4 linked regions of the Cricetulus griseus genome follow. The protein of the gene in region 2 purifies or fractionates together with the protein of the main gene of each other region. This does not show direct contact. Links are inferred from orthologs where the notes say so. Each region holds a gene or a part of one and is shown on either strand. Other genes may lie near its edges. The genes, in order: Cdkn2aipnl, Xrn2, Cdkn2aip and importin subunit alpha-5.

The links.
Region 1: the proteins of Xrn2 (region 2) and Cdkn2aipnl purify together in Homo sapiens (co-immunoprecipitation; 6 studies listed by BioGRID and IntAct, with this or other methods). This does not show direct contact. The link is inferred for Cricetulus griseus from reciprocal best matches to the Homo sapiens genes XRN2 and CDKN2AIPNL.
Region 3: the proteins of Xrn2 (region 2) and Cdkn2aip purify together in Homo sapiens (affinity purification with mass spectrometry; 4 studies listed by BioGRID and IntAct, with this or other methods). This does not show direct contact. The link is inferred for Cricetulus griseus from reciprocal best matches to the Homo sapiens genes XRN2 and CDKN2AIP.
Region 4: the proteins of Xrn2 (region 2) and importin subunit alpha-5 purify together in Homo sapiens (affinity purification with mass spectrometry; 4 studies listed by BioGRID and IntAct, with this or other methods). This does not show direct contact. The link is inferred for Cricetulus griseus from reciprocal best matches to the Homo sapiens genes XRN2 and KPNA1.

The regions. Positions count from the first base shown.
Region 1 is NC_048600.1:66,236,111-66,240,475, reverse strand, and holds the start of Cdkn2aipnl (CDKN2AIP N-terminal-like protein), read right to left. Parts: upstream 2,950-4,365; 5' UTR 2,878-2,949; coding exon 2,639-2,877; intron 499-2,638; coding exon 399-498; intron 1-398.
Region 2 is NC_048599.1:31,982,436-31,986,236, reverse strand, and holds part of Xrn2 (5'-3' exoribonuclease 2), read left to right. Parts: intron 1-7; coding exon 8-80; intron 81-300; coding exon 301-351; intron 352-813; coding exon 814-971; intron 972-1,969; coding exon 1,970-2,044; intron 2,045-2,128; coding exon 2,129-2,262; intron 2,263-2,360; coding exon 2,361-2,418; intron 2,419-2,501; coding exon 2,502-2,609; intron 2,610-3,801. UniProt on the Homo sapiens protein: Possesses 5'->3' exoribonuclease activity. May promote the termination of transcription by RNA polymerase II.
Region 3 is NW_023276807.1:39,008,258-39,011,172, forward strand, and holds the end of Cdkn2aip (CDKN2A-interacting protein), read left to right. Parts: coding exon 1-831; 3' UTR 832-2,345; downstream 2,346-2,915. UniProt on the Homo sapiens protein: Regulates DNA damage response in a dose-dependent manner through a number of signaling pathways involved in cell proliferation, apoptosis and senescence.
Region 4 is NC_048597.1:53,645,135-53,648,935, forward strand, and holds part of importin subunit alpha-5, read right to left. Parts: intron 1,548-3,801; coding exon 1,422-1,547; intron 1-1,421. UniProt on the Homo sapiens protein: Functions in nuclear protein import as an adapter protein for nuclear receptor KPNB1. Binds specifically and directly to substrates containing either a simple or bipartite NLS motif.

The sequences.
Region 1 (4,365 bases), on a different chromosome or scaffold from region 2:
CCATTCCTCTAGTGATGTCCACAGTATGGCAATAAACACAGATGTATAAAATCTCTGTGCTGTGTTTCCTCAGAGTCCTTCAGGAGCAGTACAGTCGGAAAATATTTGTAGCTTTTTGAGGCTCCTCCTTACTGATCCCCAGTTTATCTAGCATAAAGGACCTGGCTTCACTCCCTGTCATCAAGAGAAGTGTCCTAGACAAACCAAGGAGATCGAGCCTGTGTGTTCCTCCACCGACAACGTACAATTTGTCATGCTGAGTTGTGATCTAGTTATGAGAAGGTTTATACCAAGTGTGAGGAAATAATGAAGGGCTTAAGACTGTAGAGCAGGAACTAAGAAGGCTCAAAAACAACACGATCCAGAGTCCAAGTGGAACCGTCATGTCTACTCATTACCTTTTTCATTAATTCACTTCTGGTTGTAAACTGTGGCAGGTCTTCCACTTCAATCCCATCAGCCATTTCCATCACCTTGTCCAGAAGATCTTTATTGTAACTGCACAACAAAAAGCAGTAAGGTAAAAACCTGGGAAGACTCACTGTCACTATGGACTAAAAAGAAAGTGTAGTTTCTTAGACTGTAAATGCAACTTCTAGACTACAGAACTGTTTTTCATTGGTCACGTCATACCATGCCATCTGAGGTTTAAGCAATGCTCTTTTCAGCCTTCTCGGTAACCGGGACTACAGGGACACACCACTATCTGAAGTTTTGCAAGTTACTGACTTGATACTGCAGGGAAAACTACATTGTTCAGCACATGGTTAACAAGTGGCTCTCCCCACTTGTGGATATAGCACTAGGCTTGAAGAATGCCAATATAGCAGATGTTTGAAGAATTATAAAATCAGGGACTGGAGAGATGGCTCAGCAGCTAGGAGCACTTAAGGCTCTTTGCAGAGGACCTGGGTTCAGTTCCCACATGGCTAGAGTTTCAGTTCTCAGAGATCTGAGGCCCTCTTCCAGTGTCTGAGGATACTGGGTACATATTTGTTACCTATTAATACACATAAAATAAAAATAAATAAAAAGTCTCTCTCTCTCTCTCATTACAAAAACAGGAGCAGTTAAGAGCACTTGCTGCTGGGCATTGGTGGCACACGCCTGTAATCCCAGCACTCGGGAGGCAGAGGTAGGTGGATCTCTGTGAGTTCGAGGCCAGCCTGGTCTCCAGAGAGAGTGCCAGGATAGAAAACAACAACAACAACAACAAAAAAAAACAAAAAAATAAAACAAAAAAAACAAAGAGCACTTGCTGCTCTTCCAGGATCTAGTTTCAATTCACAGCACCTACATGGTGACTCACAACCATCTGCAATTCCAGTTCCAGGGAATCCAATGCCCTCTTCCGGCCTCCACCACCATCAGGCACTCACAGTGCAGACAGATGTGTAGACAAAACACCCATACATACAAAATTTAAAATAGTTGTAAATAAATAAAATTACAAAAACAGGAGCAGCATACATCAGGTAGTACATATTCATGGATGAGATCTGAGGGCCAAAAATTTGATTATTTTTAAAACACACAGAATGTTGGTCTAATGTTGGTTCTCAATTATTTGTATGACCTTGGCTCCTGTAAACTCCAATTTTAGAGGGTGAAGGCAGAAGGGAGAGTGAAGCATATATGTGTGATGGGTGTGTCTGGCACAGCTTCCCCACATCTTATTCTAACAAATATGTCAAGATCTGAAACCAAGTACCTTCAGGGTTGGAGATATAGCTCAGTGGTAGAGTACTTATTTTTGATATGTGCAAGTCTGGGGTTTCATGCCTAACACAAAACCCAAAAAGAAAACCAAGGAGTTTGTCCTGGAGGGGCCATGTGACCAGTTAGGCTACGAAGATCAGATCTGAGTCAGGTAATCCTATTTTAACACAACTTCAAGAAACTGTAGAAGCCAATAAGAGCTTGGAGATGCATGCTCAGTATATGAAATTCCAGGACTACCTGGCTACATAAAAAACCGGAGGCCAGCCTTAGTTATAAAGGATGATTGCCTTAAAAAATTTTTAAAAAAAACAAAACAAAAAACCATAAGGGAGTGTAAAAACCTGGTGCATTTTCCCGGTGGAGTAAAAGAAGTGCCTTGTCAGAAATCTCAAGGCCAGGCTCTTGTCGTCCTGGTGTGATCGCAAAAGTTCAGGGGGGCTTTGGAGCAGCAAGAAAAAAGCATCGTTACTTTCTTAAGGAGGAAAATTAAGAGGAAAAGATTACATCCTGCCTTAGCGGTGAAATCCACCAACCAACGGTGCGATGTATCACATCCTCTCTTGCTAGGTGTCTTCAACTAGAGGAGGTGGGGGAAGTTTCAGTTTCCGTCTGCACTTTTGTGTGTGACAGGAACTAATGGGCTTCGAGCACTCTGCAAAGGCAATCTTCTGGGCTCATAAACAGTACTAAAAAATGCCCATGGCAATACAGCCGCCTTCCAGCCTACCTGCACTGCACTCTACATCATTTAACTGCTGTAGTCATCACAGCCATCCATTTACCAGAGGAAAGAGAGGCTCACAGAAGAGACACATCTTCCCCGAGGAAATGCTAAGAGGGGATCAGCCAAGGCAGGAGGAGGTTGGGCCGGACTAAGGGTGGGCAGATGGGGTCAGCCGGCCGGCGGGGTCCGCACCTGCAACCCAGGAAGAGGTGGTTGGCCCAGACCATCGATAGGGACAGCAGCTGGTCCAGGCGGCCGCCGCCGTCGGGTGGGTCTCGGTAGTCCGGCAAGTGGCGCAGGATGAACTCCATGCGCGCTTTCCATTGCTTCTCGCTCTCCGAATAGGAGCGGAACTGCTCGGCGAAGTCGGCCGCCTGCCGCACCCCGGAAACTAGCTCCTCTACTGAGACGCTGGCCTCGCCACCCACCATGACTCCCGCCGCCGCCGTCGCTGCCGCCACCGAGGGTCGCACGAGCCCGCCGCCTTCCCGACACGCCCCGCGCCGCCGACACGCCGCTAGAGCGGCCACGACCCGGCGCGACTGCTCTGGAGGACTGACTTGGAGCGCCCTCGAGGGGCACGGAGGCCTAGTGTTCCCAGGGCTGCAAGGGCCCATGCAGGGTACACTGTGTAGACAGATGCTGGGGAAACTGAGGCCCACAAGCACCGAGTCGGCAGCTGGGTGCACGCTGGGGCTCTGTGGTACCCCTTTTGCCCGGGGGTGTTCCCAAGGCACCGCTCTATCCTCAGCCACAGCTGAGGCTTGCCCTAAGTTCTGTGGATCTCCCCGGAGAGTGATGTCCCCTGTTTTATGGATCCCCTGTGGTCTCAGGTTGTGCCCTAACTTCCTGCAGAGTTATCCATCCAATGAGTACCCTCCAGGCACTTTGGTGCCCAGGATGCCCCGCTCTAAAGAACTTTGTGAGGGAAGTAGATGTCAGTGAAAGAATTGCCCAAGTAAATGGAACGTTGACGAATCATAAAAGAAGTCAGATTGCCACAAACCTGAGGAAGCAAGGTATGGAGGTGGTGGTGGGGAATTAAGTGAAGAGCACCTGAGTTCAGTCTTTGGAACTCACATAGTGGAAGGAGAAAACCAACTCCTGAAAATCGTCCTTTGACCACTGTATGCTAGTAGTGTTGTATGTGTATACACACACACACACACACACAGAGAGAGAGAGAGAGAGAGAGAGAGAGAGAGAGGGAGGGGGGGAGGGAGGGAGGGAGGAGGGGGAGGGAGGGAGGGAGGGAGGGAGGGAGGGAGAACAGATAAATAAATTTGAAAATATGGACAGTTGGGTACAGAAGAAAGAGCCTAGAGCCCGGGATCTTGAGCTCCAGTGAAGGTTGTAAGTGGTGAATGGTCCCTTCATTATCCGCCAGGGTCTTACACCACATAGCCTAGGGTGGCTTACAACTGTTTTCCTCCCTTCTGCAGCTTCTATTGTGGTGTTAGGACCCCAGCAGGTAGAAATGGCATCCAGTACACAAATGGAAGAGCGCTGTAAGGACAAGCACCATGCTGTGTGACATCCCATCATGTCAGGAAGTCATGGTATTCACACTCTGGCAGGGAGCATCCGAACCAAACATGAGAACCCAAAGACAGAAGCAACTTCTCCCCAGGGTTCAGGGATCTAATGATAACAGCAACCAGAGTTGAGTTCCCAAAGTGCAGGTGGCATGCCCTGACAAGCTTATTGCAGTGGCAGATTCCCAGGTAAACCCCTGGATACTCAGAGTCAAGGTTCTAGGTAATTCTGATTCTAACTTCAGTGGGCCAGACTCCGAAAACATTCAATGTACCAGGCACAATGGCAGACACCTTTTGTCCCAGTTACTCCATATGTTGAGGCAGGAGAATTACTTGAGCAGTCATCTGTATCATAGAGACCCTCATCTCTTAAAAACATTG
Region 2 (3,801 bases):
TTAATAGGTTATATTATCTGATGCTAGTGCACCTGGTGAAGGAGAACACAAAATCATGGATTATATTAGAAGACAAAGAGGTAATTCAAAAGTATATGATTGTGTGTTCTAACAAACATAACCCAGGCTGGAGATGTAGTTTAATGGTAGATTTACCTGCACATGGGGTACGTTGGGTTCTGTCCCAAGCACTGCCTGAAAACAAACAAAAAGGCCATTAACTAGAAAATACTTGACAAGTTGTGCTACTTCTGTGTGTATGATATGTTTCTATAAATATGTGTTTCCCTCCTTTTTTAGCCCAGCCTAACCATGACCCAAATACTCATCATTGTTTATGTGGAGCTGATGGTATGTTTCTTCTTGAGGATTTACTGTTCTTGGATTAAACCAGAGTATGTTGGTGGGTTGTTGTGTGGTGGGTATTTCAGGTTTGGTTGACAGTTCCTAGATGTCTTGCCTAAGTTTAAAAGGAACCACTATTAATTTGCTGTTACACTGTGGTCAGTGATCACATGAATTTTGATCTTTTTGTTTTGTTTTGTTTTTTCAAACTTTAGGTAGCACGTTGCTGACTTTACAATGGGCAGTTTCCCACATGTAATCCCGAGTTGTGGTTTATTGTCGGTCAATGTCTCTGAATGACTTTGTAGGCAGAACTACTACTGGGATGACTTTCTGAGTTTTGCTGCCCATGCTTTTTGTTTAGTGGGCCTTTTTCTTGTGTCATTGTTTAGTAGTGTTTTGATTATGGTTAAGTAAAGGATTCTTCCAAAGTACCATTCACTTGTTTTTTTTCTTATTGATTGATAGCTGATCTCATTATGCTTGGTCTTGCTACACATGAACCTAACTTCACCATAATCAGAGAAGAATTCAAACCAAACAAACCCAAACCATGTGCTCTTTGTAATCAGTTTGGACATGAGGTTAAGGATTGTGAAGGTTTGCCAAGAGAAAAGAAGGGAAAGGTAAGAACTTTAAGATGGATAGTACTGCATTTGAAAATATGTACACTGCCATAAAGTATACTGTTTAATCTTTTTAAAATGTACAGTTTATCATCAAGTCTATTCAGACTGCCTCATAAAAGTATTTCATAGAAATGCAGCTTTTAAAGTAATGTGAAATAAATCTGTAATATAATTTTTGTTTCTGTGAAGGTAAGTTCTTGTAGATGACAATGCCCAGTGTATGTGAATTGTTTATGGAAGGTATTTCAAATGATTACTATTTATTTAAAGGAACTACAAATCAAATATATTAAATACCATGGCACTGTTATGTTTTGTTTTTGTTTTTTTTTTTTTTTTTCATTTATTTGAGCTCACTTGGTTGGAGAAAAAGTGAAAAAAAAAAAAACAGATGAACTATATGATTTTAGACAGAAGATAGAATAAATGAAGTATATGTGTATCCAAGAAGGGACCAGAGGAATATACAACAAAATACTAATATTGATTGGACGTAGGTGATGAAAGGCAAACATGTCTTTCATGTGGACCTATGAGTTAAGAATGTTTTATTTTATTTTATTTTATTTAAAAGGTTTTATTTTAAGTTGTATGTGTGGGTGTGGTACTCTGGAGCTGGAGTTACAGGTTATTGTGGACATCCTGATATGGGTGCTGTAAACTGTGAGTCCACTGAAAGAACATCAAATACTCCTAAATCACTGATCTCCAGCTGCTTTTACATTTTTAAGGGTTTTAAAAGTATTCTAGAACGTGAAAGAATATTCATCTGTATGTGTCTCCCCAAAGGGAAAATATGCATTCCTGGCCCTTCATACCAAATAATTGCTTATCTCTGGTCTAGATGTGATTATTTTAAAATGATTTGGTGAACTTTTTAAATTTAGTACTTAAATATTAAATGGGGTCTTACATTAGAAAATCCCTACAATTTGTGTGGCTAGAAAAAATTGCAGGGTTTAGGTTGGGCATAATCTGCACTGTCTTTCTTGCAGCATGATGAACTTGCAGATAGTCTTCCTTGTGCAGAAGGGGAGTTTATCTTCATTCGGCTGAATGTCCTTCGAGAGGTATGTTTCATTGGCTATTGGAACTGCACTCCTCAAACATGTTCTTTTCATTGCTTTGATGTCAGCATTCTTTTTTGGTTGTAGTATCTGGAAAGAGAACTCACCATGGCCAGCTTACCATTCCCATTTGATGTGGAGAGGAGCATTGATGACTGGGTGTTCATGTGCTTCTTTGTGGGGAATGATTTCCTTCCTCACTTGCCGTCATTAGAGATTAGGTATGTGTATCTGTGGGATGTTCCAATGACTGTCTCAGCCTTCTTGACTTTACAGAGCCCACTGATCCTAATGAATAATGTTTGTCTCCTGGTGGCAGGGAAGGTGCAATTGATCGTTTGGTTAACATATACAAAAACGTGGTACACAAAACTGGGGTAAGTTTATTTTTGAGTAATTTAAAAGCAGGTGTATTTGGTTTTCTATGAACATTATTTTACATGTATTTTATCACTTACAGGGTTACCTTACAGAAAGTGGTTATGTCAATCTGCAAAGAGTACAGATGATCATGTTAGCAGTTGGTGAAGTTGAGGATAGCATTTTTAAAAAGAGAAAAGATGATGAGGTAAATACATTGCAGTAGCTAAAATTGCTACTCTCATAGGCTGTGATGTACTTTTTAACTTGTCCGTGTTGTAATACCACTGTAATGTGTTGCTTATATAATCCTAAGCTTGGTACTTGGCTGTTTTATAAAGGCTGTGATGATTGCTGTATGGAACTGTGTATTGTACATTATTTGAGTTGTATTGCAGTTTTTCTCTTCCTAATCTTACTTAGGATATAAATCTAAAACTAGCCAAAACATGACTGCCATGTTTTATACTCTAGAAAACAGGGTAAGGCCTAGGAAGTGTGTATTCTAGGAGTCTGAGTTGGATGGCATCAGCTAGGGCAGAACGATGGAAGAATGTAGGCTTTGTGGAGGGTGGTAACTTCTAAGTAAGTTGAAACATAGAGGAAGGAACTGAAGTAACAAGGCACTTGGAAGTTGATTATATGATTATATAGAGAAGTCCAAATTTCTATCCTAGTCAGTTCAGTGTTTGTTGAGTCCATTCACTGAGATAGTAAATACTATGGGTTATAGGAGATTGGAGTAAGAGACCAGATACAAATTGAAGTAATTTTGGAGATGAGTATGAGGGGATTACAGGATGCCTGACATGGGGAAAGTCTTGAAGACAATTTTAGAACCTTGGTTGATGGGAGGAGGTACTTGAAGCCTTGAGTAGGAATGTGAGAGTCTATGGGAGCTTATGTGGAATGAAAGTGTTCTATGAGAGCTTGGGAAACATTGACCATTAATAAGAAAGAGTTTTTATACCTTTGGAGGTTTCATAGCCTCATCCTTGGGTATACTTTGTTAATCCCCTCTCCTGATCAGGTGTGGTGGTACATACTTTTAATTCCAGCAGAAGCAGATGGATGGATCTGTGAGTTCCAGGACAGCCTGGGCTACATAAGGAAACTGTCCTGAAAAACAACAAAACCCCAATCCTGGAAGAAAGCACCAATTGCAGATCTAATTAAAGTTTTCCATTGCGTTTGGCAGAATGCACTTAGGGTAGGCACCAGTACTGCTGGCTTCTGTTTTAGGACATGGGTGTGCAAACCTGTGGAATGGACCATTGTTAATGAGGAACAATATCAGCCCCAAATCCTGGAGAGGTGAAATTATGGCTGCCCTTTGAGACCTGTGCATTAACTTGGCCAAGAATAAACAGTAAATCTGAATTCCCTTTTTTCTGTTGATA
Region 3 (2,915 bases), on a different chromosome or scaffold from region 2:
CTGTCTTCTAAGTCTAGTCCAGAGACAGCTTCAAGTGGGTTAACATCCAAAACTAGTTCAGAGGCGAGTGTGTCATCCTCAGTTCCTAAGAACACATCATCCACATCAGGCACCTCTTTACTAACTCCCAAGGGCAGTTCAACCAATGCTTCACTACTGACTTCCAAAAGCACGTCTCAGGTAGCTGCATCACTATTAGCTTCCAAAAGCAGCTCCCAGAGCAGTGGTTCCGTAGCTTCCAAAAGCACTTCCTTAGCAGGCATGTCTCAGCTAGCTTCTAAGAGTAGCTCTCAGAGTAGTACTTCACAGTTGCCTTCTAAAAGTACCTCGCAGTCCAGTGAGAGTTCTGTTAAATTCTCTTGTCGGAAGTTAACCAACGAAGATGTAAAACAGAAGCAACCTTTCTTCAATAGACTGTATAAAACAGTGGCATGGAAGTTAGTAGCTGTTGGTGGCTTTAGCCCCACTGTGAATCATGGAGAGCTGCTAAATGCAGCTATTGAAGCTCTGAAAGCAACACTGGATGTGTTTTTTGTCCCGTTGAAAGAACTGGCAGATCTGCCTCAAAATAAGAGCTCTCAAGAAAGTATTGTTTGTGAATTGAGGTGTAAGTCAGTGTATTTGGGCACCGGCTGTGGAAAAAGCAAAGAAAATGCTAAGGCAGTTGCATCAAGAGAAGCACTGAAGCTATTTCTCAAGAAGAAGGTGGTGGTGAAGATATGCAAAAGGAAGTATAGGGGCAGTGAGGTAGAAGATCTAGTGCTCCTTGATGAAGAGTCGAGACCTCTGAACTTACCTCCAGCATTGAAACATCCTCAAGAATTACTGTAATGTCTCCCAAGTTACTGCTGCATCTAGTACCTGGTGTTTGAAGAGAAAAACTGGCTTTTATATAATATAAAACACTGGCTTTCACAGATTTTGTATTGCTTTTTTTCCAGTTTTGCAGAAAATTAAATTCTAGTTCTCTTCACTAAAGTAGAAGTTGTAAATAATTTATGAATGACAGTACATATTAAAAGGTATACATTGACAGCATACCAGTATGCTGTTTTATTTGCTGAAGAAAATACTGTCTTCTATTTTTAATGACATATTAGGTACGATGTGTAGTTCTGTAGAATCTTAAATTTTTTGTACTACTACCAATTTGGTGGAAATGTATTAAGTTGTCTACCATGCTTTTTTGTTGTACTCTAACTTGATTAAATCCCATCAAAGAAAAGGGGACCACAGTATTTGAATGTGTAAAACAAGGTTTTAAGAATGTTGCTTGTAATGTTGAACATCTGTTAAAGAATAAGAGTAGTTATCTCAAGCTATTTTCATGATAAGTTGTAAACTTTTTGTTTTAAGATACAAAACATTATAAAGTACTTCCTGTTATTTTACTCTGAAGTTGTTTAAAATTCACCATGATTTTGACTGCTGCTGATTGTTAAGCAGGTTAATTTATGTTTTGAGATGAAATGCAATTTACACTTTCTTAAAACATAAATGTGGGTTTCTATATTAAGCATATTTTGTGACTACTAATATTAACATTGATTTGTTTAGATATTAAATGCTTTAAGCTATTTTACCTTTTCAAGAAGTTGTGGTTTTTTTTTCCTCCTCCCTACCCTGAAGTCATAACCCAGTCTTGCAATTTGGCTTCTCACTACTATTCATAGTAAACTACAGTCAAGTAGTTTTCCTAGTAATGCACATGTTTTTATCGGTAGGGAAGTCAAAGTTTATATCTAGAACCAGGTGGTTTTTGTATTTGCAGATTTCAGAAGAATGTGGAGAAGACTAGAGAGCCATGGTCAGTTCTTTAATGGTTATGTTCATGTGAATTGCATCTGTTGTAATGAAGTAGACTCTTGCTTGTGTCTTAGGTGATTCTGTTAATCTAGTATGATTGATTTTTAAAGTCTGGTCTAAGGTATTTGATTACCCTAGTGGCCTTTGGCTTTCTAGGTGATAATGTACAGAAAGGCATCTTATAGTCACTAGCTGTATTGGAATTGGAAGGTTGAAAATAAGCACAATTTAAGTGTGTAAAAATTATTTTGTAGTTTAGAAGTAACAAAGATACTTAGTTTCCTGTGCTTGAACTGAAATAATCAGGGATGTTTGTATTTTGCCAGATAACCTTTTTTAAATTGTTTTTTGGGGGTGGCTCATTGGATATCAGGGCACAATCTTATAGTCTGTAAATGGGCTATCTTTATATATTGTGGGGAGCAATAACATAAGTAAATTGTAAAACACCTTCAAGTTTCTTCTGTGCTGTATTTTGTGAACCAATGCTTACCAGAAAAGTGAGCCAAACATTAGAATAAATACATTTCTGAAATACATCTGATTAGATGATTTGGTAATTTCCTAAAATGGCCGTTTTAAGCAAATTTATAAACGCTGTTATATTGAAAATTTTTTAAGTTACAGTATGCTTTTGACATGGAGTCTGGTCTCATAGGCCTATAATTCCAACGACTTGAGGCTTAGTCAGGTAGAGCTGAAGTTAAAATCCTTGGAGCTTTACAGAACAGTCTGCAGCTCTGTCTGATAATAAAAAGTAAAAAGATCCTGAGATATAAATCCAGTGATATAGCTGATTGTAGTGGCACACACCTTTAATCCCAACACTCAGGAGGCAGAGGCCTGCCTGGTCTACAGAGTGAGTACTAGGACAGCCACGGTTACACAGAAACCTCCCTAGAAGCTCCCAACCCCCACTCCCAGAAAGGTAGGTGATATAGAATGCTTGCTTAGATGAAAAGAAGGCCCTAAGTTGAAGTTGTAGTACCTCCAAACAAAAACAGGTGAAAACTTGATAATATATTTTCTTGGTTTTTGAGAAGGTAAGTGTGTTATGTCCTTGCTGGTCTTGAACTTGCAAAGTATTCCATTCTCTGCTTCCTCAGTGC
Region 4 (3,801 bases), on a different chromosome or scaffold from region 2:
CAATAAATAAATAAAGGTGACATATATTTAATGCCCTGGGCCAGGAAATGATGCATGCCTTTAATCACAACACTCGAGAGGGAGAGGCAAACAGATCTCTGTGAGTTTGATGCTAACCTGGTCTACACAGTGAGTTTCAAAGGTCAGCCAGTGCTACACACTGAAACCCTGTCTCAAAAACCCCAAGGTGTCTTATTAATGGCATACTGTTCCTCAGTCCCACTTATATATCATCACTAGTCTTCCTCATATACCTTCTTCAAGCTTGAAACTAGCCCAGGAACCTAACACAGGTTAGTACAATTTCCTCTATCCAAAAGAAATAGGGCTGGAGAGATGGCTCAGAGGTAAAGAGCACTGACTGCTCTTCTAGAGGTCCTGGGTTCAATTCCCAGCAACCATGTGTTGGCTCACAACCATCTATAATGAGATCTGGTGCCCTCTTCTGGCCTGCAGGCATACATGCAGGCAGAACATTGTATAGATAATAAATAAAATCAAAATAGAGACAGAGAGGGAGAGGGGGAGGGGGAGAGACAGAGGGAGAGACAGAGGGAGGGAGGGAGGGAGGGAGGAGGGAGGAGAGAGAGAGAGAGAGAGAGAGAGAGAGAAGAGAGAGAGAGAGAGAGAGAGAGAGAGAGAGAGAGAGAGAGAGAGAAATTCTCCAAAGGGGCATAGTTAAAGAAAACATCCTCCTGGGCCTGATGGCATACATGTTTAATCCTGGCACTCAAGAGGTAAAGATCTCTTTGAGTTCTAAGGACAGTCTAGTCTAAACAGTATGTTTCAGGCCAGCTGGGGTTACAACAAAATGAGGTCCTGTCTCAAACAACAAAAAAGGCCTTCAATAGTCCATGAAAAATTTACACAACCCAACACATGGGTTCACTGGAAAATATAATTTAATACGAAGTAAAGCCAACTTATTTAGCATATAGTCCACCAAAACATTCTGAAAACACAAAGGTTTTTTTTTTTTGATCTTTGGTAAAATCAGCAAACTTAAAAGGTAAAAAGAAAATACATCGTCTAAGTATCAAAAACTAACATTAGAAGAAAATAATCTTAGACTGATATATTGACACTGGTCGTTGGTAGTTTTAGAAGAAATAAGGAAGGCTGTATTTTAAAGGCTGACCAAAATAACTTCACCTATTACTGAAAGGATAGAAAAGGGGTTGGAGAAGACAGCTCAGGTGTTTACTGCTCTTTCAGAGGATCCAGGTTCAATACCCAGCACTTACAGAAGGCTCACAACTGCCTATAACTCCAATTCTAGGAGATCCAATACCCTCCTCCTCTGGTCTCCAAGGGCACCGCATGCACATAATACACACAGTTAAACAGGCACATACACATAAATAAAAATAAATAAAATCTTCTGAAAATGTATCTCACACACAGGGATAAAAAGGCATTACCTGGATCTGTGCCCTATTTCCAGCTGTAATATTAGATATTGTCCAACATGCTTCCTTTTTGATAGATTCCTTTGGGCTACTCAGCAAATGCAATAAACTCTGAAGAGCTGAGCAGTTCAAAATTACCTGAAAGAAAAAAAAAAATTTAAGTTTTACTTACGGTATAGTTTCAAATATCATTTGGTTTTGGATTTTTGTTGGTTTTTCTGTTGAGGAAAGGTCTTATACAGCACAGGCTGGACTCAGTGCATCCTGGAAGATGAGCTTGAAATCCTGGATCATCTTCTGTCCACCTCCCAAGAGGTAGTAATAAGTGCATTTTTCACTCAACTTATTTTTGTCTCAAAAACAGAGAAACCCTGTCTCAAAAACAAAACAAACAAAAAAACCTAAAACAAACTTATTTTACTACAAATGTAGAAGAAAAACTCTGGAATTCTAAAAAAAAAAAAAAAATAGCTTTATTCATGGGGAAGATGTATGTGTTTGGACTTGAGCATACCATAGTACACATGAAATCAGAGAAAAATTTGCTGGAGTTGGTTCTCTCCTTCCACCATGTGTCCTAGGAATCAAACTTAGGCTATCAGGCTTGGTGACAAGTGCTTTTACCATTTGGGACAACGTTTCAGTCCTTTAAAAACTATTTAGTACTAGTCTGAAATACATTAAAGACTATGAATCTGGTTTCACTGTGTACATTCACAAGCACTGGGATGTGTGGTGGTACATAATCAAGCACTTGGGAGTCAAACATGAGAAGATCTTGAATATAAGCACAGTTTGATAGATTCAGTCATACTCTGCTCTTGAGAAAACAAACAGAACAAAACCCATAATACACAACTACAATGACATTAGTATTAAAAAATATACTATGGTCTGGAGAGATGGTGGCTCAGTGGTTAAGAGCGCTTGATGCTCTTGCAGAGGACCCAGGTTCAATTCCAGCACCCACATAGTGGTTCACAACCATCCTCAACTCCAGTTCTAGGGGATCTGATGCCTTCCTCTGGTCGTCATAGGCACCCAGCTTACATGTTGTACACATATACACATGCACACAAAAGACTCACACATAAAATAAAATGAATAAATCTTTAAAAGCCAACTACAAATAGGGGCCAAGTATGGTGGCACACGACTTTAATCCCAGCACTTGGAAGGCAGAGGCAGGCGGATCTCTGTGAGTTGGAGGCCAGCTTGGTCTACAGAGTGAGTTCCAGGATAGCCACAGCTGTCACACAGGAAACCTTGTCTCAAAAAAAATGAAACACACACACACACACACACACACACACACACACACACACACACACACACACACACACACACACACACACACACAACCACACACGGGGGGGGGGGGGGGGGGGGCGCGGCCCCCGCACGGGACTGGAAACACAGCTCAGCAGTTAAGAGCACTGGCTCATCTTCCAGAGGACCCCACCAGGCAGCTCACAACTGTTCATTACTCCAATTTTAGGCAGATCTCCAAACCCTCACACAGATATATATGCAGGCAAAACACCAATGCACATGAAATAAAAATAAATTTAAGAAAATACATGAAATATATGTTAAAAAACTAGAATAAGCTGGACGTTGGTGGCGCACGCCTTTAATCCCAGCACTCAGGAGGCAGAAGCAGGCAGATCTCTGTGAGTTCGAGACCACCCTGGTCTATAGGAGCTAGTTCCAGGACAGCCTCCAAAGCCACAGAGAAATCCTGTCTGGAAAAACCAAAAAAAAAAAAAAACCACACACACAAAAAACACTAGAGTAAATGTTTATCTTAATTATGTAAATTAAAAAGAAAAAATTAAAAATTCTTCACAATAAAATAAATGAAAACTAAAACAAAGCCACGTGTTACCTACTAAACTACAAGCTAAAAGTGTTGTTTATTTAAGGAGGAGGACGAGAAGGAGGGGGAGGACGAGGAGGACGAGGAGGAGGCGGCAGAGATTTAGTTCCCCCAGTTCTGGAGGCTGGAAAATCCAGTTACAGCACCAATACCTGGTGTAAGAGACCTTCTTACTGCATCTCCAATGTGGCAAAAGGCTGAAGAGCCAGTGGGGACAAATATTCTGCCCTTATATGACAGAAAATCAAAAAAGTAAATAGAACTTTCTAAAAACAATTTTGTCACAAATGTTAAGAGTTTATTTTATAAACTTTCATTATTAAAAAAAATTGCAAATAATATAAACATCATACACCAAAAGCAACCAGATTTGAAGTCTATACATCTTAGTGAACCTCTATACAGTTAGGGCAGCCATTCTGAAGCTGTGGAGCTTCATGGCGGATTTTATACTTTCACTACTGAATAAATTATTTGCTCATCCACCACCAGAAATCCATGACAAAATTAGAA